Linked DNA regions of Macaca fascicularis. The protein of the gene in region 4 interacts with the protein of the main gene of each other region in a pairwise test. Links are inferred from orthologs where the notes say so. Each region holds a gene or a part of one and is shown on either strand. Other genes may lie near its edges. The genes, in order: NME7, DYDC1, MKRN3, TCHP, KRT16, NAB2 and KRT15.

Region 1 (3,500 bases), on a different chromosome or scaffold from region 4:
AAGAATCCCCAAATTTACCCTAACCAGAGCATCAGATGGCAAATCCAGAATTAGCAATAAAACTCCTAGATTCCCTTCTTCCCTATGCTTTTATTTGCTTATTATAATGAAGGGCCTTTGGGGCAAGGGTATTTTTACTAACATATATAATGGGAAATCCTGCTCGATAGTCAAGGGAAAAGGACCCATCTTTGACTTATTTTTTTTTCATTTTTTGCTCTCTGTGGTAGCCCTAAGAATGTACTTCACAGACCTCCAACTACAGGCAACCTAAATGACCAAGGGTCCCAGCTGCTGTTCTCTGAAATCCACTGCTGCTTTTGTGCTGAGCACTTGTTTCCCAAAGGCTGCTCCCAGCCAGTGATTGAGAGGAACAGGGATACTAAAGCTGGCCCCTCCGTGTCCTTGGGAGTCACCTGGCTCTAGCACTTCCTGATGGGCTTACTGAACCTTCCTTAGAGGGTGTAGCAATCTGGGATGATTCTACTTAACCTTGCTTGCACCTCTCCACCACTCTGTGTCAAACTTGCATTGTTTTTTGTCAGCTTTTCTAGTCTTCCTTGGCTCCCTCCTCATTTTATATTACAGGAATTTTCCTTAATGAAATTCTTGCATGTTCAGTCTTGTCTTCACATTTATTTTCAGAGGTCCTAGACTAACACATTCTCTATTTCTATAAAAAGATACTATCATATGTAATTACTAAGGAAAAAAGATGTTTACTATAATTTTAATGGTAATATTCTGATACTACTAGATTCTCAAATTTAGGGAAGTCAAAACTTCATATAATTGAGAGCTATCCTCAGAAATGTATGCTTATATTAATTTATTGATAGTCTCTATGTAAACTTGCTTTCAGAAGGACTGAATTGCTACCACAGTAAAATCAGGAGCTCATGTTCTCAGAAAATGTTAATTTACTCAGGATGATTAGATGGCTATAAAGTAATAAGCAATCCATAAGTCATCTCTGAGATATGAGAAATTAAAAGGAAATATTTCTGAGGGTATGTTGATAACTGATATTTTGTTGAAAAGCAGAAAAATTCAATACAATAGGTAGGAGTAAGTTTGTTTTTTGCAAATTGGTAATTCTTGCTTTCATTTTGTGTGACTTACAGGAGAGTGCTTGTTCTTTATATGTTAGTGTTAAAATTCTTCTGTCTTTCTTTGCAGAGTCATAGTGAAAGATTCGTTTTCATTGCAGAGTGGTATGATCCAAATGCTTCACTTCTTCGACGTTATGAGCTTTTATTTTACCCAGGGGATGGATCTGTTGAAATGGTAAATAAGTCTTTCTTTGCTTGAATGTCGGCAAAGGGGGTGAACATGGGAACCATTGCCTTTTATATAATTGCTTTTTAAAAACACATTTATATGTGTGTGTGTGTGTGTATATATATATGGAAATTCTTTTTAAAGATATTCATTATAATTTCAATATAAGAAGTTAACTTGTGCCTTTACTTTTAATGTCAAAGATAGGAAATTTTTTTTGTTGTTGTTAGAAGACTGAAGTGGGGGTCGGGCACGGTGACTCATGCCTGTAATCCCAGCACTTTGGGAGGCTGAGGTGGGCGGATTACTTGAGGTCAGGAGTTCGAGACTAGCCTGACCAACATGGTGAAAACCTGTCTTTACTAAAAATACACAAAATTAGCCGGGTGTGGTGGTACATGCCTGTCATCCCACCTACTCGGGAGGCTGAGGCAGGAGAATGGCTTGAACTCAGGAAGTGGAGGTTGCAGTGAGCTGAGATCATGCCACCGCACTCCAGCCTGGGGGACAGAATGAGCCTCTATCTCAAAAAAAAAAAAAAAAAGAAAAGAAAAAAAAAAGACTGAAATGGGATTATTCATGTTTTGGATAAGAAATAACCAATAAGTGATTATAGATAAGGATTATTATGGTCATAAATATGTCCTCATTATTGAAAGCTGTTACTGCTACAAAAAGTCAAATTGAGAGGATCAAGCTAAGAGGCTTCTGTTTATTTCTTTGTGTTTCTTCATTGGCAACACAATTTTAACAAGTGGATCTTTTTGGTATTGGGATTTTGTGTACACAAAAAAGCAGAAATTTGGGTGTATGACTCTTTCTTTAGCATTTTGTAAGGACTACTGAAATGATTTGGTAATAAACAAATCTTTCTATTCAGGGTTTTAAGAGTATTAAATGTGTAATAAAAAGCTTTTATGTTATTACCAGATTGGATTCAGAAATATGGAAGTAATTAAAAATTATGATTTATATTTGTAACAAAAAAGAAACAGAATATAACTTATCTTTGATAAGACAGAATTAAGAATTATTTCTACCTTATGATAAGATTAACTTTCCTTATTCATAAATTTTGTTTGTTTGTTTGTTATATTCTTGTGTCTGGTTCTAGCATGATGTAAAGAATCATCGCACCTTTTTAAAGCGGACCAAATATGATAGCCTGCACTTGGAAGATTTATTTATAGGCAACAAAGTGAATGTCTTTTCTCGACAATTGGTATTAATTGACTATGGGGATCAATATACAGCTCGCCAGCTGGGCAGTAGGAAAGAAAAGTAAGAAAACAATTATATAATCTTTTTACATTTTGTAACTTTGGGTTCAAAGTCAATCTGAATCAAGACTGGGAGTATTTAACCATATGAGGATGGATAGGACCTGGAAAATGGTTGTCTTCATTCTGTCTTTTTCTTTTTTTCAATTAAAAAAATTGATAATATCATAGTTGTACATGTCTCATCTGACTTAATTCATATTTATGTCTCCTATGCAACTTAGCACATCTCAGAGATACAGTCATCTGTAAAAGGGGCTAAGAAAAAAACGGAAGTGAGAAAGAACAACTTGTAGATACAGCTGAAAATTAGACTTATAGAAAACAAGGACTTCTGATGTTTTCCTTCTGAATATTGATTTTCAGTATTTTCAAGATGACTTTTTAACTTTTAAATTCTCTACATTTATGAATTTCAACTTTCTGAGATTAGAATTAATTATATTTGAAATGAAAATTTAAGTCCTTTGTCATCTCTCTTGGATCTAATTTCTGTAGCTTATATTTTGTATGGTTTGGGGACTTTTTTTTTTTTTAACTGTAGAGTGATTGGTGCTATAATTAAAATAGGGATTATTTGTAGAAGTTAAGGCTATATGTATAAAAGGTTCCAAAAATGATTTAATTCAATAGGAAAAACAAATCAGTCACACTATTTTTTGAGATCTGCTACTCAAATGACTAGTTGATTGCCTAACATCTGAGTCACTCTCATAGTAATGAGGTATCTCTTTCTGTGACTTCCATAGTCTTTCTGTATAAGCACTTTATGGTTCTTGAGGTGATTGGATTCTCAGTGTGGGTGTTAGTACACAAAGGGTGATGGATCAGAGGGGTGGTGAATGCCTCGTAACAAAGGAAGACCAAACACTTTCTTTGAAATAGGATAAAAATTTCAGGTATTAGATAAATAAACAGGAATCTTTTAATGTTGTGGGA
Region 2 (2,265 bases), on a different chromosome or scaffold from region 4:
CTTCCGTGCTGTCTGCCTGGAGCACTACCCTCGGCCTCCCATGCCACCAGTGAGTAGCAAATCATTAGTTTCCTTCCCGACTGAGGTTCCTCAACTGTGCTGGCTGTCCCTCCTTGTTAGTGTACATGAATTAAAGTGACCAAAATGTACCCTTCTTCCAGGACAGTCCTGGCTTACATCTGCTGAGCCGGCTCTCATTCTCAAAAGCATACTGGTTTGGACAATAAATTACGTGGTCCCGCTAACCATGACTATTAAATGCTCATCTAATTGTCTGTTTCTTCCCTGACAATAAACTCCACAAGATCAAAGCCATCTGCCTTATTCACCACACCATCAGGCATAGTGCCTGGCATATGGAAGATGTGGTATGTTTGTTAAATAAACAAATGTACTTACATACTGGAGAAGCATGCACTCTCATTAAGGCATTCATTTGGTTCCAGGGTTTGTTACTGAGGACCAAAATCGTGCCCCCTACACCAAATTTAAAGATCGTGTATTTCACAAAATGATTTTAAAACATATTTTGAAGAGGTTTTGAGGTCACAGATACAGAGACATAGATAAGCCAATGACACACTTCACAAAAGGGCAGAATGCCAATTAGGAATATAATCGGCAACCAGGGAACTGATTTTCTCTGAAGCAAAAGGCCCGTTTGCCAACCAATCCTGGCCTAGCCTCATTTTCCCTAGGCTTTACCTAAGTGAAAAAATCAAAAACAAAAACAAAAAAGAGCTTTTTAAAAAACACGCTGATACTGACATCAGAAAACATTGGTTCATCAAGTTCTTCCACTCTGCTCAAGTTAGGTGCTCCATAACGATCGCTGATTTCAGCTAGTGTTTTGCCTGAGTCTAGTGTTGCTTCCTACAATCAAAAAATTTATGTTTACTTTTAAATTATTTCAAAATTAATACATTACTTTTCTTTCAATTTTGATTAAAAATTTTCTGATTTATAACATCAAAATTCAACATTATTAATTAGTGGAATTAACCAATTTCTGTTAATGACAAGAGAATTCTGGTAATGAATTGAGTATCCTAGAATATAAAGCTAGAATTCCGGCAATAAATGCTAAAACTTTTCTTTAAATACCTGCAGAAATTTAAAATAATTGTAAGTAATTATGTGGTAAATAGCTTCAATATCTCAAGAGAGCCTAGTTTTTTTAAATCCAAACACAAACTGAATGTCCAATTTTTACCTACTGTGAGATTTTTCTTCAAAGCACATTATTTGTGACTTGTTATTACCAGAAAATATATATGGACTATCAGTTTTGATAATATACTTGCTAAAAATTTAGCTACTTATGCATCAAAATTAAGCTTAAATTATAGGATACTCAATTCATTTCACATAACATAGAATGACTTTTTCTTCTCACCTCTGAATATAGAGTATCTTCACTCCTAACTAGATTTTCCATATTCATTCTCATCTCCTATAATATATAAAAATTAAGAAAATACTTTGAATATACTTCATTTTGATTTCATATTTCATTTTTGGCATTTTTATTTTTACACAATGCTATGATCAATTTAAAGCAAAAATGCTGTCACTCTGAAAGAGAATGATCTGATTACACATTACAAAACTGCAGATCACAGTCTTATTTAATACTCTATACTAATAGAAGGCAACCATGTTTTATATATAATTAAATAAAACTTTTTAAAAAGTGAAATGGACTGAAACATTTAAACTGAAGCCAAATTATCTGCCAATATAAAAACTGACAAAATAAAAATTATAATAGAACCTTAGAACAAGAGATTTTAAAGAGAAACTACACTTAAGTAGAGTTTTGCACATCATGAGAAAGAAGTAAACACTTCTACAGGAACTAATCTGGCCCAATGCAGAGGGACCTGAGCGATGCCCTCTTTAATACTCTGAGCACTGCAGTAGGAATGTACTGCCAATATGGGAGACCTCTTTCTGAATGTGAAAATATTCTTCTAGCCAGCCAAACCTTGCTATGCCATCTACCTTTTCATTCTAAAGCAGCACGGTGGCCTAACTGACCCTGAGCTGATTGATTTTGGCTGCTACACCACCAGTGATTTCTTGATCATACATATGGTTACCCTAATGATAGGAACATAAACAGCACTGTTTTCCCAAGACCACTCCATTTTCCTGGTAACTTCTTATCCAGCATCCACAAGGCTATATTGGGAACATCCATATTCTTATAGGACCATGTTCCCCCACCACAGAGATGGATATTTGACACAAACTAAGTCAGTC
Region 3 (4,170 bases), on a different chromosome or scaffold from region 4:
TTTTTAGTGCTTTCTATATTTTATTATCTTTCCATTATTTTATTCTCACTGGTTTTAGTATTTTTGTTCTATTTTCCCTTTTATAATCTTGTTACTTTTATGTTGAAATCTTTTGTCTAAAGCCCCTTGTTGGGAAAGTCTAGAGACTTTGTATATCAAATACAAAGCACTGTGCCTCTGAGCCTAGGATTTGCTGTTACAAAGAATTATTGAGAAGGTGGCAAAACTGCGTAGGAACACAATTTCTGTTTTTATAGAGTGAGCTATTAATGCCATTGTAAGAATTACCAATATAGTGCTTTGTAAGTCCTCTAAGATCTGCATCTGTTACATTTGGCCAGACCCACTTGAACAGTCCTTTTCATTAGATGCTAATTACTGGCTTCTGTGCAAGGGACAGAATGATTATTCACACAACTCACATCCACACAACAGCCAATCCTGTTAGGCTTTGACCTTCAGCTTTCGGCTCTGTATTTACTTTATTACATAAACATAAATATTGTGATGTATATTCTTTTATATATATTTTCAAATACATAGCTCTTATACATATATATTATATATATATCATTCTTAAATATATATTTCCAAATATAAATTATTTCATGTCAAGCTAAACAGGATAAAAACATGTAAACATATACACTTGGTTTTGGTCAAGTAAAACACAAAATCACAAGTTCATCACAGTTTAACAAGTGCACTTGAAGGGGAAGGAGGGAAAGAACAAACTGTAAACAGATGAGCAGCTGCAAGACCCTGCGAGGGTCCATTTGTTAAGGCTATTATAGCACAAAGCTACTAGTTCAATTAAAACTTCTCCTTTCACTCTGCCACATTTACTCTTGAGGGTCTTCAAAATAAGTGTGGAAATTCAGTAAACACTACACTAGAACTGAGTTAATCCTGTTGAAAACAGAGATGACAAAAAAAGCCATAAGCTGACATTAATATTAATTTCACCAAAACAGTAACTTTAAGGACTTATTTTTTTAAACACAGATAATCACCATAATCCTAGGAGGAAAGATATGCAGAATAGACAAGAAAACAGAAGCACTGCCTCAACAGCCCCTGAAAGCAATAAGAGTGTCAACACAGGGAAAACAGGCAATAGCAGACGACAGAACCTCAGCAGACTAGACCACATGCCACAGCACAATGCTACAGATTCAAATTGAAATATTCTTCCAGCTCATAATGAAGCAAGTCCCACTGGTCCTCAGAGAAGGGTAACTCATCTCTCAGTAAAAGAAACCGCTTAAACAACAGACTGGCCAGTCGAAGCACGACAAGCTCCTTCTTACGGCTTTTATAGAGCATGTCGCCCTCTCCCATTCGCACAGGCTCCACAAGTTGATGCCAGTATGCGCCGAATGACCCACCACCTGGCCCAGGAGGCTCATCTCCCCAGCCCTCAGGGTATTCATGCTTGTAAAAGCATGTGTCTCCAAATGGGCAGTTACCCCTGCCTTCCGCAAAATACCTGCAGGCCTTGTTGCTCATTGCCTCCTTGTATTGCTGAATAAGTTTCTGCTTCTCTTCCTCCTCCTCCACCCAGAACTCACTGGGAACGACCAAGTCGGAGGTGACCCTGCACTGCGGGCAAGACTTGATGATCCTGTTATCAAACTGTCTGGCACTTCTCCACCTGCGGATACACCTAATACAGAAGGTATGGTTGCAATTGGAAAGAATGCCAAAGCGGCGGTCATTGGGGTTGGCTTTCTCATAGACAACCTCCATGCAGATGCCACACACCTTGTCCATACCACGCTGCACAGCAAACGAGAGTTCCATATCTTTCTCGTGTGCTTCAATGCAGGCCCTTATATGGTCTTCCCTCTGGGCAGCATCCATGGGGTGCAAGGCCTGCAGCCCACACATGTCGCATATGTCTCCATGGAGGAACATACAGCTCTCCCCACGAAAGCAAACTCCCCTGGAAGCATAATAGCAAAACCGCAACCCCCTGCCCACAGCCATCTGATTCCTCTCAGTCTCTGAGCTCTGTGGAGGAGCCTCGGGGGCAGATGCAACCCAGCGGCCCCGGTAGGGCTGCCCTGGAACAAACTCAATGGCATCCGCCCAGCTTTCTACACCTGCTCCTCCAGCAGCTCCACGGTCTGCATTGTCTCTCTCGGCTTCAAAGAAACCCCTTTCAGCAGCCGAGCCAATCACAGGCAAGGAAAGGGAGGATGCAGCCGGGGGGGCTTCCGCCACTTCCTGAGTCGGGGGCTCGATGTGCGCAGCCGTGCTAGGGCCTCCACCTGCAGAGGCCCCAGGCGGCGAAACGCTGCCCTCAGTGGCCATCTTCCGACCAGAAAGGTCGTGGGAATAGCGACAGTTCTCCCCCTCCTTGCACTGCCCATGTATATAATACCTGCAGATGATCTGCTTTGTCCAAATGCCGCTGCTTCGGCTTGGAAACGGATTGCGCCATGCTCCTCCTCCTGAGGCTGGTGCAGGCCTCAGGCCTCCTGTGCGGAGGTGGGCAGGGACTGGAGCTACAGGGAAGGGGGCCCAGCCCACAGGCGCATGTGGCAGGGCCGAATCTGGAGCAGCAGATTCCCTGGAGGGCTCACAGACGGGAAGGTCCGGCCCAGACACACCCTCCCCTGCTGCCTCAGCACCTGCCTGGGCCCCGGCTGCCTCCTGGGCTTCTGAGGGAGCTGCAGGCTCTTCCATGGCAGCTTCTTTACCCCGAAATGGTGCCAGAACGTCTCCGGTATTTTTTCTTTATGGGCTTGAGGCCCGGAGTCGCGGCCGCGCTCGGAGGCTTCTCTAGGGGAAGTGTGCATCTCTTTTTCTTCCCCCCCGGTTCTTGGCTGCCTGTGACTGTGTGTTCCTACCTACTTCCGGGCACAGGCAGCGCGGCGGACACTTCCTGTGGGGGCAACGTACGCGCCGCGCTTGGATTTTACCGCAATTTTCCAATCTGACATATTTTTTGTTCACACAGGCAGGGACCAACCCAGCCCCTTTTGTCTGCCTTCTGCCTCTGCTTCGCTGTGTTCCGGCAGCCCCTAATTCCCTCCTCACACCGTTTCCTCAGGAGAATGAGGTTTTACTTTAATCTCTTTTGGTTTCAGTCATGCACGTCTTCGTTGTATTTTCGTATCTGTCTGCTTTAAAAAAATTAGAATCCAATAGATTCTGAAACATTTCATACATGAATTAGATAAATCCTTTTTTGATTCACTCCATCTTATGTCTGCGTTTTTTTTTTTTTAATGCCCTGTCACTGCTGGAAGATTTTTTCGATTTGCTCTGTTGACAAAGCGTCGTTTCTTTTGGTCTTTGTTTTCTGGGATTTCTGAGGGCTTACGCAGGATACGCTTTTCACCAGCAAGGCATTAGCAGACAGCGCTTCTGATCCGAGGCTAAGTTAGCACCTTTCAGATGTCTTTCTTTATTGTGATTACTATGCTCGTTTTCCCACTGTGTAGAAGCCCCAGACTTCAATCATTCCTGATGCTGGCTGAATAAGGCACTGTCCCCTGCATGACCCAGGCTTTTATTTTCTCTACTGGTTTAATTCATGGCAGCCCTTTGTTTCTCTTGCTTTCTTTCAACCCCATCTGTGCTGTGTTGTGGCATACTATCCACAAAGGAATGGTCTTTAATTTCCATATATAAGCGTTTTGTCATTTTTGCAGATACGTGTAGTGGATTAATCATTTTTTTGTATTCCTACTTTGCTGAGAGTACGTATCATGACTGCATACTGAATTCTGTCATGTAGTTTTATATATTTTTTGAGATAATCTTGTTTTTCCCTTTATTCTCTTAATGTGATTATTTGCAGCTATGAGTTTCAAATATTTAACTGACCAATTTGTTTCTAATAAGAAGCCCTTCTGTGTCATGATATATCGTTTTATATATTATTGGATTTTTTTTTTTCTGTAAGTTTCTTTGAGGAAATTTTGTTGCCTAAATCTGTAAAGTGGAAACATATCTGAATATTTATAATCACCCAAGTCAACAAATTAAATTATAATTAGGTAGGTAAAAGCAAAGAAAGCAGAATGAAGCAAATAATAAGGCCAAGAAAAGCAATGAAGAAAAACAAATATTAAATAAGGGAAATAAATTAAGTAAAATCCTTTAAACAGCTTATTGAAGCCAGATAATTTCTGGTGAAACTTATCAAGGAAAAATGAA
Region 4 (3,500 bases):
AACCCAGCTTCCTGCCGCCGTTCTGCAGGCCACAGGGCCCAGGCAGATCCTGCCTGAATCCCAAATGACAATGCCCTCAGAGACCAAGTTAGGGAGGGGCTTGATAATGTTGGGTTTCCTCCCCACTCAACAAAACACTTTCTAAAATGAACCAGGCAGCAAAGCGACCAGTGCACGGAGGTGTGGAAGCTCAACCCCAAAGGGGCTACTGGAAGCCAGGGCTGCGAGTTTATGATGCAAATTTCATCAAAAGAGCGACAAAAAAGCCCTTAAAAACACATGTTCTAGCTGGACCCTGTGGCCCACGCCTTTAATCCCAGCACTTTGAGAGGCCCAGGTGGGAGAATCTTTTAAGGCCAGGAGGCCATGGCCGGGCGTGGTGGCTCACGCCTGTAATCCCAGCACTTTGGGAGGCCGAGGTGGGCGGATCACAAGGTCAGGAGATCGAGACCATGGTGAAACCCCGTCTCTACTAAAAATAGAAAAAATTAGCCGGGCGCAGGGGCGGGCGCCTGTAGTCCCAGCTACTCGGGAGGCTGAGGCAGGAGAATGGCGTGAACCCGGGAGGCGGAGCTTGCAGTGAGCCAAGATTGCGCCACTGCACTCCAGCCTGGGCGAGAGAGCAAGACTCCGTCTCAAAAAAAAAAAAAAGGCCAGGAGGCCAGACCAGCCTGGGCAACAGAACAAGACCCCATCTCTACAAAAACTAAAAAATTAGCTGGGCACAGTGGTGCACACATGTGGTCCTAGCTACTCAGGAAGCCGAGTCAGGAGGACTGCTTGAGCCCAGCTGGTCGAGGCTGCACTGAGCTGTGAATTGCGCCACTGCACACCAGCCTGGGTGACAGAGCAAGACCCTGCCTCCAAAAGAAAAAAAGAAGACGCATACTCTACTTGCCACCTCCCAGTCCTGGTCACCTGGCCTTATTCTGCCCTGGGAATTATCACATAGGATTCTGGTATGTGTAAGAGCAAACGTTCAGTTTTCACATGTGTCAAGTAAACTGAGAAAGAGTATACTATACTCCTTAACTGGAGTCACTGACGCTGAAAACGGTAAAGGAATGCAAAGGTGTCAACAGTCCTGCACAGCAGAATGCGGGGCTATTCCCTGAGCCGCATACCACACCTGTTTTCTTTCTTCTTTCTGCGTTTCCCAAGAGTTTACCACATGCTTCTGGTGAAGGTCCAGCTCCACCTGAGGATGGAAGGGGGCGGGTGTGAGTCTCCTCACAGGCATGCAGTAGAGGGCGTGGGGCGACTTCAACACGCACAGTGTAAATGCAAGTCAATCGGAAGACCAAAGGACCAGGCGCTCCTACATCAGTCTCCTGAGCTGGTACAAAGTAACAGAGACTTCCTTCCCACCAGCCCTGGGGTTAAGCTGGACGCTGAGATGGAAATACAATTTCGCAGGCCAGCGTGGGTTGGTCTCCTGCATGCCAGGCCCCGGGAGACAGCTGGGTGAGGAGAAGACTCAACTCTGTGTCTGGCTCCCCAAAGCTTGCTCTGCAGAGCAGATGGAAAATGTGCTCCCTGTAGCAAGTGATGCGCCAGTGGGTGCAACAAGTTTAGGATTGTTAGTAAGAGATTTGAGCGCAGAGAATCTCCTGGATTAGAAAATGGATCACAACATTCAATCCAAATCTTTTGTCTGGGAAACTGTTTATAAAATTAGCCGGATATGGAGGCGCCCACCTGTAGCCTCAGCTACTCGGGAGGCTGAGGTGGGAGGATCACTTGAGCCCAGGTTCAAGACCAGCCTGAGCAACATAGGGAGACCCTGTCTCTACAAAAAAGTTTTACAATAATCTTTCCCAACTTAGAGCTGTGAACACAGGCAACTAACTTGAATGTTCTGAATAAACTTCTCTGATTTAACGGCTCTAGATGATTCCACCAAAGCCAACAGGGCTAAGGAGTCCCCCCACAGATTAGTGCAAACTACACAAAAGCACTAGATGTTCCATTATTTAGTGACTGGCAATTTCTAAATGTAACTACGAATAACGTGAAGGCACCAAATGTATACAAAAACTGTAAGTTGAAAATAAATTAGTAACAGTGAGGGATGATCTCCCTCCAGCCAAATCTCCACTGAACAAGGCCACCAAGCCAAGAGGCCACCCCCTCTCCTGCAGTTTGTCCTCCTCTCCCCTGCCAGCCCAGTTCAGGCCTTCACCATCCCCCAGCTGGGCTGTCGCAGCACCCCTCCCTGCCAGCTGGCACACTGCTGCCAGAGGGATCTCTCTGAAATGCAGCCGGGATCCTGTGTGCCGCCCCCAGCACCTTCAGAGGAAGGTCACACAAGCTCTTATGGCGTCTGGCACCGTCTGCCTCGCCGGCGTCGTTTCTTGGGGTTCTCCCTATCTGACATCCTAGCCTCACCCAGACACTTTCAGCTCCCGGGGCTCACTCTGCTCTCAAGTCTCAGGCCTGGTTCTCATAGTCACATCAACCTAGAACATCTTTTCCTCACCTCTACACACATACATCCCTTCAAACTCTTCCACCCCAGGAACCCCTCTGGGAAGCCTCCCCGACCCCTCCAGAGTTGAGTGCGCTGGCCCATGATCATCCTCTCAGGCTGGCCCAGCACCCTGCATCCTGCCTGGTAATGAGCTATCCACTGTTTCCCGTGCTGGAGACAGCAGAAACCACGTCTAATCTCCATGCCCCCACCTGGTAGAAAGGCAGCAGAGGTTCAATCAACATTTGTTCAACAACTGAATGAACCGCTCAGTGCAGCCTGTGCCAGATCTTCTGCCTGGCGCTCTTTTCAGGTGGCTCAAGGTTCCCTCCTCTGTTTCAACCCAGTACAAGATATGTGTTAAAAAAAAAAAAAAAAAAGTCTGGAAACATGATTTCATCTACTTAGGCAAATCAATGGAGGTCTCTGATTTTCACCTCTCGAAGTTTCGGGTTGTTCTTTTTCCAGTGTTCATACAAAAGTTGTTCAGCAATCTATCGAGAAAACACAAAATGGAAAGCCTGATGTCAGTTTTCAAATCCATTCACGTTTTGGATGACACACAGTGGAAGTCAGCTCAGGCTATGAGTGCCTCCATTCATACTGTCACTGCACCCACTGTTCAAACCCTTGTGCTTCACATGCACAGCTCTAAGAACCACATGGCACTACCAAGTGACTCTTGCAATGGTGACAAAAGGGGACCAAAATCTGATGCTACACAGAGGTCTTATCTAGGGGGTCTCAAAATAATACAGCAGGCTGAAAAGCACAGATCAGGGCTCACTGTTTCACATAACTACTTTGGAAGGTAAAACAGATTATTCCCAGATCTCTATGGGCCCACAGAACTGGAAGAAAGGAAAAGCACTCAGATGTAATGACTGAAGGGGCTAAAGAGAATACAGCTAACTGATCCAAAACCCAGTCCCTGCACAAGGACTTAAGCTCCTTTCCTGCTGGCTCTGGAGTTAACTGGCCTCTCATCAGACCTGAGCAGCCAGGAATGGCCCTATATGTGCGACACACT
Region 5 (4,035 bases), on a different chromosome or scaffold from region 4:
GGGCCGGGTCTGACGGCTCGAAGAAGACGAGGAGGAGGTGAAGACTGTGGGAGAGAGAAGAAGAGGTGAGAAGGAGTCTGAGAGCTGAGCAGACTCCAGGGCAGGGAGAAGGGAGGGCTGGGAGCTCTGAGGAGAAGGGCCCGGCCCCCACTCCGTGGAAACAGGCAGAGGGGCTGCAGTGCCGGGGAGCCTCAGAAGCCTTACCCTCGCGGGAAGAATAGGATTGGCCAGATGCGTGCTGGGAGGAAAGGCTGTGGGAGAGAAAAGGCAGGGCAGTCAGTTGTGCTGAGAGCAACAGGGGGTCTAAAGGGTCTGGGAGGCAGAACTGGGGGGCCTGGGACTCACTGGGCGTCCTCGCCCTCCAGCAGGCGGCGGTAGGTGGCGATCTCCTGCTCCAGCCGCGTCTTCACGTCCAGCAGGATCTGGTACTCCTGGCTCTGCTGCTCCATCTCACAACGTAGCTGGGCCAGCTGCTCCTCCACGCTGCCGATCAGTCCCTGGATCTGGGACAGCTGCATGCAGTAGCGGCCTTTGGTCTCCTCCAGGCTGTTCTCCAGGGATGCTTTCTGCAAGCGAAAGAGAGAAAGAGTCAATGGAGGTGGTCACTCCTGTCCCTCCAGGTCTCTGGGCATGCTTTTTGAGAGGTGCCTGGATTTTGATCCCAGTTGGGGTACTGACGGGCCAGACAATATGGAGAAAAGCTAGCCCACTATTCTAGGGCTTAATTTCTCTGTCTATATAATGGGTCCCATGAGTCCTCTGGTCCCATCCTGAGAAAAGAAAGGTGGAACTAGATTGTGGCTTGTTGAGGGGGTGGTGGCCATTACTGGTGGCTTGGGGGCTGCTGCTGTACCGGGTCCTTCATACCATGCTGAGCTGGGACTGCAGCTCAATCTCCAGGCCCTGGAACACCCTCCGGAGCTCCGTCACCTCAGTGCGGCTGCTCTGTACCAGTTCGCTGTTGGAGGCCACTTCTTTGTTTAGCTCCTCGGTCTGAGACAGGAAAGCAGAACGAAAGGTGAGGCTCTCCCAAAGCCCCCGGCTGGGAAGTGCTGCAGGCTCACTGAGGGCCCGAGCCCCACCTTGCTCAGGAACCAGGCCTCAGCATCTCTGCGGTTTTTCTCTGCCATCTGCTCGTACTGGTCGCGCATCTCATTCAGGATGCGGCTCAGGTCCACGCCAGGTGCGGCATCCATCTCCACGTTCACATCTCCACCGCTCTGACCTCGAAGAGCAAGCATCTCCTGGGAAGGGATGGCAGGAGGCAGTCAGCTCAGCAGACTCCTCTCCTGGCCCTGGGTGCATCTGGCAACCCCACCAAACCAGCCTCCCACCCCGGAAGCCAGCAGCAACCGCACCTCCTCATGGTTCTTCCTCAGGTAGGCCAGCTCCTCCTTCAGGCCTTCGATCTGCATCTCCAGGTCAGTCCTGGCCAGGGTCAGCTCATCCAACACCCGGCGCAGGCCATTGACATCGGCCTCCACGGTCTGCCGCAGGGCCAGTTCATGCTCGTACCTGGCAGGACAGAGGTCAGGTCCTCAGCTGCAGCCCTGAGGATTCTGAGGCTCGGGGTCTGCTGGCCCTGCTGGGTGGACAGAACTCCCTGCCCCACAGTGACAGAGCCCCACTCTTTGTCCCTTGCCCTCTGCCCCCAGCCCACCATGTTGGCTGCTCACTTTGTCCTGAAGTCATCGGCTGCCAGCCTGGCATTGTCAATCTGCAAAATGGGCTGCGCATTCTCAATGGTGGCTGCAATGATCTGGAGTGGGGATGGAGGACAGGAGCCCTGGTCAGCCAAGGACCTTACTACTTGAGCATGAAAGGCAGAAAGGGGCAAAAGGAACCTCCCCAAATCTGTAAGTCTCCTGGCTGGCAGGGCTGCCTTCTCCACCAGCTCAGGGTATGTAGGGACACACTCCATCCCAATCACCCCCTTCCTGGTTCCAAGGCAGGGAAGCTGAACTTGCAGCTGAACCCTTGCAGGAAATAAGAGATTCAGGGTTCCAGCCCCAGCCCGGGCACAGAGATGCTGAAAAGGACCCTCTGCCACCACTTCCCTGGGTGATCCTGGCCACTCTCCAAAGGTGCCCAGTCTCCCTGTTTGTAAAGTGTAATTGCTAAAAAGAGGTATCCCAAGGGCCACTATAGTGCCAGCCTCTCTCTCTGCTCCATACACCAGTCACCCACCTTGTTCCTCAGGTCCTCGATGGTCTTGAAGTAGGGACTGTAGTCTTTGATCTCACTGGGCCGCTGCCTCTGGTACCAGTCGCGGATCTTCACCTCCAGGTCGGCGTTGGCCTCCTCCAGAGCACGCACCTTGTCCAGGTAGGAGGCCAGGCGGTCGTTGAGGTTCTGCATGGTCACCTTCTCACTGCCCACCAGAAGCCCATCACCACCAGCAAAGCCACCACCAAAGCCACCACCCAAGCCAGCACCCAAGCCAGCACCGAAGCCAGCACCATATCCTCCCCCGAAGCCACTACCAAAGCTGCTGCTGCTGCTGAAGCCACCGCCATAGCCGCCCCCCAGCCCGCAGGCTCCCCCAGAGGAGAAGCGGGAGGAGGAGACAGACAGGCCCCCGCCGTAGGTGCTGGGGGCGCGGCAGGACCCTCCGGCCAGGACGGAGGAGATGCGGCTGGAGCCGCCCCCGATGCCGCCCCCGATGCCGCAGGAGCCCTTCATGGAGCTGGAGGAGGTGAACTGGCGACTGCAGGTGGTCATGGTGCCGAGGAGGGAGGTGAGCGAGCGAGCAGTTGGCTGAAAGAAAGGAAGGTGCTCAGGAAGGCTGAGAGCGTGCTGTGGCTGCCTCCAATCCCAGAGACCTTTATATGCACCTGGGGAAGGCGGGGCTCTCCTAACTGCTGACTCCGGGTTCCCCTCCGGATTTCATCACTCCCGGTCCCGTCCTACTCCTCACTCTGGATTATTCAGCCCAGGATCAACTCCACTGTGTGCCGGCTCGGAGTTCCCACCCAGCTTTGGGGGTGTGGGGCTGAGAGAAAAACACACAAATGCAAGTAGGTGGTGACTCAGGCTAGGCAGCCGGGAATCAGGCTCCCGTTCCTGGAGCCCTCAGGGCCAGTGGGGCCTTGGCACAGGTGGCTTTGTGGCAACTGCGTCCCCAGGCAGTGAGTCAGCCCTTCAGAAGAACTCCCTGCCCCACAGTGACAGCCTTGGCTGAAAGATACCTCAGCGATGCCATCCCGGGCTGTCTTGGGGAGCAGTTGTGGGGATCCTACATGTCCCACTCTGGGCAGGGGCAGAGTTCGTGCCTTCACTCTGCTTGCTGTGTGGCCTGAGGCTCCCCACCTCCCATCTCTGGGCCTGTTTCCCCTCGGTGGTGACAAGGCTAGACTGGGTGACTGCAGAGTCCCTTCTGGTTCTAAAAATCCTACGACTCTCTTTCCCTTGTTGGATGTAATTCCAGTTCTGGAGGCTGCCTGGAGCCCCTGGGATCTCCAGAAGTGTGTGCACCATACAAACAGCACCGGCCATGGAGCCAGACAGGCGGCACCAAGTCCCTGCTCTGCCCTTACCAGCTGCATAGCACAGGCCGGTCCTATAACCCCTTGGTCCTCAGTTTTCTCATGTGTAAAAGGGGATGACACACCACTAGCCACAAAGAAACATGCGCGCAGGACCCCACCGGCCCTTCCCTGAGGGTCAGCCCTGCCCCTCAGCCTCCCCATCCTGCCCCTTCAGCCACCTGCTCCTCACACTCACCTCTACACACTGGCACCCTCCCACACCCCTACGCGGGACCCTGCACCCCCCACACTCCCAGCTGAAGAACACCACAGCCCCACACCTAGCTCCTCCACTCCTCTACCGCCCTCTCCTAATCACAGGCACCCCACCTGCAGGCTGATGGGAGGGAGCCCGTCCTGCCACTGTAGCCAGGTGTGACCCCTGACTCCGCCATGGGCCTCAGAGTCCCCGACCCTGTAGAAACAGGACTGGTTGGGGATCCATTCCCAGCAGTTCTCTTTCCCATGTCCACAGATCCCAGACTGGGCCTGGCAGCTCCATTCATCC
Region 6 (3,877 bases), about 53 Mb from region 4:
GCGAGGTGGAGGCTTCTGATATGTGTATGAGACTATGCAAAAGTACAAGGGCCGAGTTTCTTCATGTATAGCTGTGTGAACGTGTATGTACCTAAGATATGTTAATGTATAGCTGGCATGTTAGTTGCATGACCACATAGAACATGTGTCTGCTTTTGCCTGTTTGACAACACAAATTTGGGAGTGTGAGACATTGCACAGAAGACAGCAGCAAGTGTGCTGGCCTCTCTGACATATGCTAACCCAAAAATACTCTGAATTTGGAGTCTGACTGTGCCCAAGTGGGTCCAAGTGGCTGTGACATCTACATATGGCTCCATATCTCCAATGCTGCCTGGGAGCCAGGGTGAGTGTCTGGGTCCAGGCCTGACCATGTGGCCCTCCAGTGTATGAAGGGGCCCTGCCTGCTGTATCTTCTCTGTTGCCCTATCCACTGCCAGCTTCCCTTCACTCCCCCATCCCATGTCACCGTTTCTCCCTCTCGAGGCAGGGGTCATAGATCCTAAGCCATAAAATAAATTTTATTCCAAAATAACAAAATAAATAATCTACTGTACACAATCTGAAAAGAAAGACGCTCTAACTGCTCAGATAGGTGCTGCGGTCCAGCCCCCAGCTGGAGGAGACCCTGAGTCCAACCCAGGCCTCCCAAGGGGGCCAGTGAAGGGATCCCACACCCACCGCCCCCATGTAGGGCAGGAGGGAGGAAATTGCAAAGGACTTGGGGGATAGATGGGAATGGGAGGGCAAACTGCAGCACTTGTTAAATTAAAGAAACAAACCAGAAGCACAAAAACGGGGAAGGAGAGGGAAGAAGGAGCAGGTCCAGTGTTCCCAGGCCCCCAATTCTGGGGGCAAATGTTGCCACTTTTAGCTGCTGGACCTTCCCAGGGAAGTCCCCCTTTCCCCCTTGTCCAAACTGAGTCCAACTGCTCACACCACAGGTGCAAACCTAAAGAGAATGGGAGTGTGTCGTGTGAGGGAGGGGAGAACCCCAGATGCCCTTGGAGGCAGAGTCCTTGCCCCCTCGCTCTGGGCAGGGGTGAGGGCACCACGCACCCTCCTTGTGTCCTCTCTCCAGGCCCCTGCTTGTTATTGCTTGAAGCCCCACAGTCTTATGCCCATGGAGCAGGTGGGGAGGCAGGAGAAGGGCAGAGGAAGGATCCAGGGTTGTGACTATATTCCGGGGATGGAGAGCATGGGGGTCTGTGTGAGCCAGAAGTCTGAGGTCCTGGGTCTGAAGACACCAGTCCACCCCTCACTGCCGGCTGGCCTCAGCCTCCACTTTCACGCTGCTCCTGCGACCCTCCACCAGTGCGGGATGGGGTCCTGGGGCAGGACATCTGTCCAGCAGCCCTTCCTCGAACTCTGCAGGGAAAAGGGGGCAGTTAGGAGACTGCAGGGTGACTGGCTGCAGACAGAAGTGGTTGGAACAGAAGCAGGGGCAAAGAAAGTTGTGAAGATGGGCTCCGTTTGTTGAATTACTGCTTCCTGCCCACTGCATGTGTATGGGGGGTTCCATTCCTGTGTGTGTGAGCCCCCTCCCCTCTCTGGCTGTGTGTAGCTCTGTCTCTGTGTCTCTCTCTTTCTCTGTCTCTCCCGCCTCCTCCGTTGTGCTGGAATTTCTGGTTCTGTCAGGAGCTGCGGGGGTGGTTTGGCTCTGACCTCTCCCCTCCCCCTCTTCCCAAGCTTTGCCACCCCCACTCATCCCTGGCCCCCTCCCAGGCCCCTCCCAGGTCACCCTACCATGGCCCCCCAAGTGTTTTGGTAGCCAAATCAGGGGGAGCACAGGAAGCCAGCCTCCGAGCTCCTCCCTCAAGAAGAGGCCCCCTTCCAGTCCCCGCCCCCACTTCCCACCCACGCACAGTTTAAAAATACCAAGCCAGGGTTGGTGGCTTTGTCTGCTGCGTCACTCTCAGCCCAGCGGCTGCCCGGCCCTCTGCCTGCCCACTCCCTCTTCCCCCTTCCACACACAAAGCATCACTGCTTTGGGCTCCTCTGCTTCCAAGCTGGGCATCCCCATCCCCATCCCCGCAACTCCTAGCCTGCTCCCCACTCCTGGGTTGGTGGAAGTGCCATCTGAGCTTCCCTTATTGATGCTCCTCCTTCCTGCGCTTTCATCCTCTTTTCTCTGTTCCCTGTTCCCCAGTTCCCCTTTCACAGATCTACACTAGGACCAGACTTTTCAAGGTGGGAGCAGCCCGGCAGGGTCTGCCTCACCGCACCCCAAGGCCTGGCTGGCTGGAGCCCAGCCCTCCTACGGCCCGCTCTGACGACTATATCCCTCTTCCTCCCACCTGGCCCCAGGACACCAGAATTGCTGTGTGGGGCCTGGGTGGCCGGGGTGCTTGGGGACAGCACTGCTGGCTGCCTCACCTGCGAGAGGTGGCTTCGCAGGCACACAGGGGCTGAGGCGGCCCACGCGGTCGTGTGAGACGAGGCGGGCGAGCCGCAGCCCCTCGTCCATCAGTGTCTGCTGCAGGATGTGGCGGCTCCATAGCCCATGGGCTGGCAATGCCAGAGGCAGGTCAGCAGGGGGCGGCGTCAGCCTTGGACATGACCCCACAGCTGTGGGCATGGGCACTGGTCAGGTAAGGGGCTGCAGCCAATGGAACCCCCACCCTCAACCACACAGCCAGCCCACAGGCCCTTCTGCCCCCCCTCCAGCCAAGCTTCCCAACCCTGTTCCAGGCATTGCCTCCTGGCTCACTCCTCCCCCCAACCCCTCCCCTACTCCCCCACCCTCAATGAAGAGAAAAGTATTCTGAGGCACACTCACCCTGCAAATGTCCATCCAGACTCTCCCCAGACAGGCTGGCGCTGTCCTCCTCCAGGCTGGGGCGGTATGGGGGTGCATAGGACTCAGGGCCTGGGGGAGGCTGCTGGATTTCAGGGTGACTCTGTTCTCCAACCTGTGGATGCCCAAAATGGGGAAATGAAGACCTGGCAAGGGAGGGGATTGGGGAAGGCTGCCCAATGCCCCTACATGCACCCCGGAAAACATACCTCTTGTTTCAGCTTCTTCAGTGGAGGGCCTCCCAGTTCTTCAGGGTGGAGCCTGAAAAGATGGATAAGAATAAAGTGGGTGAGGCTGATGAGGGCCACGTGACGGGCAGAGCACAGAACCCGGCCAGAGACGTGTTATTTAAAACCTTTGTCAAGAAGCTGGCCGAGAAAGAGTCTCTAGCTCAGGCCCTATTGTTGTAGGGGGTTGGGGGGACCCGACATGGATGGGAGGAGAGACCAGACCTGAGACAAGCTGACTTGACCAAAAGCAGGACATCCAGGTGGGCGGGAAGCAGGCCTAGAGCTGCCTGAGCTGAAGGTTAGGACATAATCTAACTCCATAGCAGGATTCCAGTCCAGGAAGGACCTGGGGAAGGGGTCTCACCTGGAGCCCTTCAAGGAGGACAAGTAGGTGCTCTCTCGGGCTACTTGGCGGGACAAAGAGAAGAGCTCCACTCTCCGCAATAAGAGTGTGTTGTCCCTCATGCAGAACTGGGCAGCAGCCTCATTGATGGTGAGCTGTGGAGAGAGGGCAGCCAGGAGAGTCAGAATTTGAACTCCCCTGCTGCCTCACCAGACCTCCTCACACCCCTTCACCATCAGACAAATAAGGCCCATCCATCAGATGCTTGCTTTGGTTTTGACACTACATGGGAGCTTTCTGAGGAAGACAGACAGAGATCAGCACCCACAGCTTCCTAGGAATGCCCAGGGCCTCTTCCACTCCTGTGGGGTCCTGAGTGACAAGGAGCTGAACAGCTTGGTGTGGCCTGTACCTCTGCTTCCCCCTCAGCTGAGGATGGAAGCACTGCGGCCGCTGGGGTGGGGGCCTGTCAGGGAGGGGATCAGGGCCTGGGGTCCTGGTCAAGGG
Region 7 (4,038 bases), on a different chromosome or scaffold from region 4:
AGAGCCAGGATTTAAACCCCAGGCCTGAGGGACTCCGGAGCCCTGTCCACTTCACCATGCTGCAACCTGGGCTAGGAATCCTCTTCCTGAGTTTCTGTAAGCCCTGGGGCCAGGTCCGGAGGGCCGGGCCACACCTCCAAGAGGCACTGCCCACAGGTGTCAGTTGTCCCTGGAAAGGTGTCCCTGAGCCGGTGGCAGAGAAAAGGGCTCTCCTGAGTGTTCAACTCCCCATCTTTGTGAAGTGATGCCTTGGTCTTCAAGATCTCCAGTGTCTTCCAGCCTGCCCGCCAATCTCCCATCTCTTCCCTTCCACAGCACTCAGGCACATAGAGCCTTCTGCAGCGGCCCCTCCCCAGCCAGCACTTGACAGGACAGATGGGGGCTAATCTGGCCCTGCTAAGCAGCAACATGCTGCTTGGAACTTGCCCCAGCCTTATCAGCGGAGGTCTGCCCCAACACATCCCAGAAGCGAGCAAAGGTTCAGCGCTATGCAGTTGGCAGGTGTCGGGATCATCAGTCATCCCCTTGTCAGCCCCGAGCCTGCTGGGCTTTTGTGAGGGTGCCAGGGACATAGGCTGGAGGCTGGCAGGAGGGGAGTAGAGGTGGGAGGAGGGGAGTCCATCTGCAGCACCAGGGAAGGGATGGATGCTGGCTCCTCTGGTCACCTCAGCTGGAACACTACTCAAGGTCCCTGGCTCCTGTCCTCCAACTGGGGGTCCTGCATTCCCATCCCCAGAGGCCTCCACTCCCCCTGAGCCCTGCAGTCTCTCACTCACTCACAGGGTTTTGAGTTGGATAACACAGTGTAATGATCAAGAAGTGGACTCCCAAACCGAGAACACGGAGCTGTCCCCTTGGGCAGAGGCTCAGGGCTCGGGGCAGTGGAGAAGTCCAGCTGAGGGCACAGTGGCTTGAGCTGCTCTCAGTTCAGCTAGAGGCTTTGGTAGCTGTGCTGTGATGAGAGTTCACTCCCTGCTGCTCTCTTCTGGCATGGAGAGATGAACCTGTAATCCAAGTGTTAAAACCGTGCCCCGGGGGAAAACACTATTAATTCTGAATCATCTCTTTTGTTGCATTAAAAAAAATAGAAGAGAAAAACTTCACACGAGCCACTCAAGGTGTGCAGGCAGCTGTGTTTGTCAGGAAGGCAGAAGGAGTTGGCTTTGCTTTGGGGGAGGAGACGAGGTCCCACAGCACCCTCTGAGGGGAATATAAGGAGCTCCAGAGTGCAGCCTGGCCTGGTACCTCCTGCCAGCGTCTCTTGGGTTTGCTGAGAACTCACGGGCTCCAGCTACCTGACGATGACCACCACATTTCTGCAAACTTCTTCCTCCACTTTTGGGGGTGGCTCTACCCGAGGGGGTTCCCTTCTGGCTGGGGGAGGTGGCTTTGGTGGGGGTAGTCTCTATGGGGGAGGTGGAAGCCGAAATATCTCAGCTTCTTCTGCTAGGTTTGTGTCTTCAGGGTCAGGAGGGGGCTACGGGGGTGGCATGAGGGTCTGTGGCTTTGGTGGAGGGGCTGGCAGTGTTTTTGGTGGAGGCTTTGGAGGGGGCATTGGTGGGGGTTTTGGTGGTGGCTTTGGTGGTGGCGATGGTGGTCTCCTCTCTGGCAATGAGAAAATTACCATGCAGAACCTCAATGACCGCCTGGCCTCCTACCTGGACAAGGTACGTGCCCTAGAAGAGGCCAATGCTGACCTGGAGGTGAAGATCCGTGACTGGTACCAGAAGCAGGCCCCGACCAGCCCGGAACGCGACTACAGCCAATACTTCAAGACCACTGAAGAGCTCCGGGACAAGGTGAGTCCTCAGATGTCAAAGAGAGGGGAGCAGGTGGCTGGTACCCTGTATGTGGCTCTAATGTCGGTGTTACTGCTGACTCGAGGAAATCCTTTCCTGCCCAGGCAACGACTGTCTGGTGTGTAACCTCAGCAAATTTGGAATGCACCTGCTGTCCAGGTGCAGAGGCTAGTGCACATCTTCTCAACTTGGTGGTGCTGGGGGAGGAAGGGAGGGGTCTTGGGAGTCTGGTTAGGACCAACAGGGGCACAGGTGGGGGCAATTATAAAGAGCCAGGGGCAGTAGCTCACACCTGTAATCCCAGTGCTTTGGGGGGCCAAGGTGATAGGACTGCTTGTGTTCAGGAGTTAGAGGCTGCAGTGAGCTAATGACTGTGCCACTGTACTCCGGCCTAGGTGACAGAGTGAGAACCTGTATCTAATGGAAAAAACCAATAATTAAAAAAAAGAGCAGCTCGCCTTCCCTACCTCATGCACCCTGCAGGCTTCTGCATAAAGTATTCCTTCACCTCTTTGGCAAGAATGGGATTGGAGTGTGGCCTCATGAGTCCCAGATGCTAGAACCTCTTGTCTTTTCCTATAAAGAGACCTTTTGTGCCAAAAGTACTGTTGGGTCTTAGGAGACCTGGGAACTCATTACACATTCTGTCACCCACTCACTCACCTTTTTACTCCCTGAGACTGGGTTCTTCATTTGTAAAAGGCCTTCTTTAGCTGCCCTCCAGGTTGCTACTGGCTGGAATGTTCTGTAGATCCATGGCTGTGTCCAAGATGTGCAGGAGGCAGTGACCATGAGCTGTCCACAGGGGGGCTGGTGGAGTGTCTCTGAGAGGGCTATTGTCAGAGCTGACCACACCCCACTCCACCACTCTTCTGGGCAACCAATTCCCACAGGCAGTACTGCCTCCTTGGTCTTTCGTGCCCTGGAGACAAGGAGGGCAACTCCTCAGGTGTCTCAAGGAGGCTGGTATGGGACAAAACCAGAAGTGGACACTCAAGATGCGGCTGGACTCTGCCCACCCCAGAGGCCCTACAGATTTTTGTTGGTGGTGTCAGAGGGGTGATTGTCAGTGAGGGGCTGGCCTTGGGTGCAGAGTGGAGAGCAGCAAGGGAGAGAGAGGAGTCCTCTAGGCACCAACTCTGTCTCCTGCAGATCACGGCCACCACCATCGACAACTCCCGGGTCATCCTGGAGATCGACAACGCCAGGCTGGCTGCAGACGACTTCAGGCTCAAGTGCGCTCCCCCCTCCCTCTCCTCTTCCTGCGTTGCCCACTTTACTTGGCCTTCTCCTGGGTCTGACTCAGGCAGCCAAGACCCCTCCCACTTCCTTCTTTGGCCTCCCTCTCTCTCCTCAGGTATGAGAACGAGCTGGCCCTGCGCCAGAGCGTCGAGGCTGACATCAACGGCCTGCGCCGAGTCCTGGATGAGCTGACCCTGGCCAAGACTGACCTGGAGATGCAGATCGAGGGCCTGAATGAGGAGCTGGCCTACCTGAAGAAGAACCACGAGGAGGTGAGAGCTGGCCCCCATCACCCTTGAACCTGAGAGAGGTGGGGAACTTCTTCCCAAAACGCACTTAAATTGCCCAGAGGGAAAGACAGCGGCTCCAGGAAGCCCTCCCAGATTTTCGCGAGATTAAGTCGGTGGGAGGCAGAGTGGGGCTGCTGGTACTTCCTCATCGTTGGCCTGGGGCTTAGTGGTTCAGAAACACCCCCAAACCCCAAAACCAGGTGTCCTCATGGAGAGGAAGGGGCACTGACCTGTGGTAGCCCAGACCCACAGCCAGGCCAGGTGGCCAGTACGAATGACTGACTTCCTCATTGGCTTTGTGAGCTCACATCAGGGCCCTACAGTCTCGGGGTCCTCCCTTTGGTAGGACCTAGAGCAGCAGAGAGCTCCTCAGAGTTGAGGGGTCCATGTGACCGAACCTCTTCATGTGCAATAGGGAACATCGGTTGGGGTGCGTTAGGGGCAGAGCCAGGATTGGCATGTGGGACCCCAGACTCAGGTTTCTCTTCTGCTCTCCGTCTCTAAATGGGCCCCTCCCACCCTGCAGGAGATGAAGGAGTTCGGCAGCCAGCTGGCCGGCCAGGTCAATGTGGAGATGGACGCAGCACCGGGCGTGGACCTGACCCGCGTGCTGGCAGAGATGAGGGAGCAGTACGAGGCCATGGCGGAGAAGAACCGCCGGGATGCTGAGGCCTGGTTCTTCAGCAAGGTGGGCCTGATCTCCTGCC

The links.
Region 1: the proteins of TCHP (region 4) and NME7 interact in binary tests that used the Homo sapiens proteins (3 or more experiments, as listed by UniProt). The two-hybrid records come from large-scale screens. The link is inferred for Macaca fascicularis from reciprocal best matches to the Homo sapiens genes TCHP and NME7.
Region 2: the proteins of TCHP (region 4) and DYDC1 interact in binary tests that used the Homo sapiens proteins (3 or more experiments, as listed by UniProt). The two-hybrid records come from large-scale screens. The link is inferred for Macaca fascicularis from reciprocal best matches to the Homo sapiens genes TCHP and DYDC1.
Region 3: the proteins of TCHP (region 4) and MKRN3 interact in binary tests that used the Homo sapiens proteins (3 or more experiments, as listed by UniProt). The two-hybrid records come from large-scale screens. The link is inferred for Macaca fascicularis from reciprocal best matches to the Homo sapiens genes TCHP and MKRN3.
Region 5: the proteins of TCHP (region 4) and KRT16 interact in binary tests that used the Homo sapiens proteins (3 or more experiments, as listed by UniProt). The link is inferred for Macaca fascicularis from reciprocal best matches to the Homo sapiens genes TCHP and KRT16.
Region 6: the proteins of TCHP (region 4) and NAB2 interact in binary tests that used the Homo sapiens proteins (3 or more experiments, as listed by UniProt). The two-hybrid records come from large-scale screens. The link is inferred for Macaca fascicularis from reciprocal best matches to the Homo sapiens genes TCHP and NAB2.
Region 7: the proteins of TCHP (region 4) and KRT15 interact in binary tests that used the Homo sapiens proteins (3 or more experiments, as listed by UniProt). The two-hybrid records come from large-scale screens. The link is inferred for Macaca fascicularis from reciprocal best matches to the Homo sapiens genes TCHP and KRT15.

What each region holds. Positions count from the first base shown.
Region 1 is NC_088375.1:26,961,140-26,964,639, reverse strand, and holds part of NME7 (nucleoside diphosphate kinase homolog 7), read left to right. Parts: intron 1-1,179; coding exon 1,180-1,287; intron 1,288-2,395; coding exon 2,396-2,562; intron 2,563-3,500. UniProt on the Homo sapiens protein: Possesses an intrinsic kinase activity. Displays 3'-5' exonuclease activity with a preference for single-stranded DNA. Does not seem to have nucleoside diphosphate kinase activity.
Region 2 is NC_088383.1:66,468,688-66,470,952, reverse strand, and holds part of DYDC1 (DPY30 domain-containing protein 1), read right to left. Parts: intron 1,454-2,265; coding exon 1,397-1,453; intron 874-1,396; coding exon 769-873; intron 1-768. UniProt on the Homo sapiens protein: Functions as part of axonemal radial spoke complexes that play an important part in the motility of sperm and cilia. Plays a crucial role during acrosome biogenesis.
Region 3 is NC_088381.1:5,418,420-5,422,589, forward strand, and holds the start of MKRN3 (E3 ubiquitin-protein ligase makorin-3), read right to left. Parts: upstream 2,801-4,170; 5' UTR 2,692-2,800; coding exon 1,490-2,691; coding exon of another isoform or gene 1,168-1,489; exon of another isoform or gene 910-1,167; coding exon of another isoform or gene 888-909; exon of another isoform or gene 1-887. UniProt on the Homo sapiens protein: E3 ubiquitin ligase catalyzing the covalent attachment of ubiquitin moieties onto substrate proteins.
Region 4 is NC_088385.1:116,776,454-116,779,953, reverse strand, and holds part of TCHP (trichoplein keratin filament-binding protein), read right to left. Parts: intron 2,965-3,500; coding exon 2,908-2,964; intron 1,199-2,907; coding exon 1,130-1,198; intron 1-1,129. UniProt on the Homo sapiens protein: Tumor suppressor which has the ability to inhibit cell growth and be pro-apoptotic during cell stress. Inhibits cell growth in bladder and prostate cancer cells by a down-regulation of HSPB1 by inhibiting its phosphorylation.
Region 5 is NC_088390.1:62,651,814-62,655,848, forward strand, and holds the start of KRT16 (keratin, type I cytoskeletal 16), read right to left. Parts: upstream 2,801-4,035; 5' UTR 2,722-2,800; coding exon 2,188-2,721; intron 1,760-2,187; coding exon 1,677-1,759; intron 1,516-1,676; coding exon 1,359-1,515; intron 1,245-1,358; coding exon 1,083-1,244; intron 994-1,082; coding exon 868-993; intron 567-867; coding exon 346-566; intron 252-345; coding exon 205-251; intron 45-204; coding exon 1-44. UniProt on the Homo sapiens protein: Epidermis-specific type I keratin that plays a key role in skin. Acts as a regulator of innate immunity in response to skin barrier breach: required for some inflammatory checkpoint for the skin barrier maintenance.
Region 6 is NC_088385.1:63,891,375-63,895,251, reverse strand, and holds the end of NAB2 (NGFI-A-binding protein 2), read right to left. Parts: intron 3,526-3,877; coding exon 3,392-3,525; intron 3,059-3,391; coding exon 3,007-3,058; intron 2,913-3,006; coding exon 2,780-2,912; intron 2,569-2,779; coding exon 2,377-2,568; intron 1,369-2,376; coding exon 1,259-1,368; 3' UTR 501-1,258; downstream 1-500. UniProt on the Homo sapiens protein: Acts as a transcriptional repressor for zinc finger transcription factors EGR1 and EGR2. Isoform 2 lacks repression ability.
Region 7 is NC_088390.1:62,557,296-62,561,333, reverse strand, and holds the start of KRT15 (keratin, type I cytoskeletal 15), read left to right. Parts: upstream 1-1,238; 5' UTR 1,239-1,301; coding exon 1,302-1,799; intron 1,800-2,951; coding exon 2,952-3,034; intron 3,035-3,156; coding exon 3,157-3,313; intron 3,314-3,857; coding exon 3,858-4,019; intron 4,020-4,038.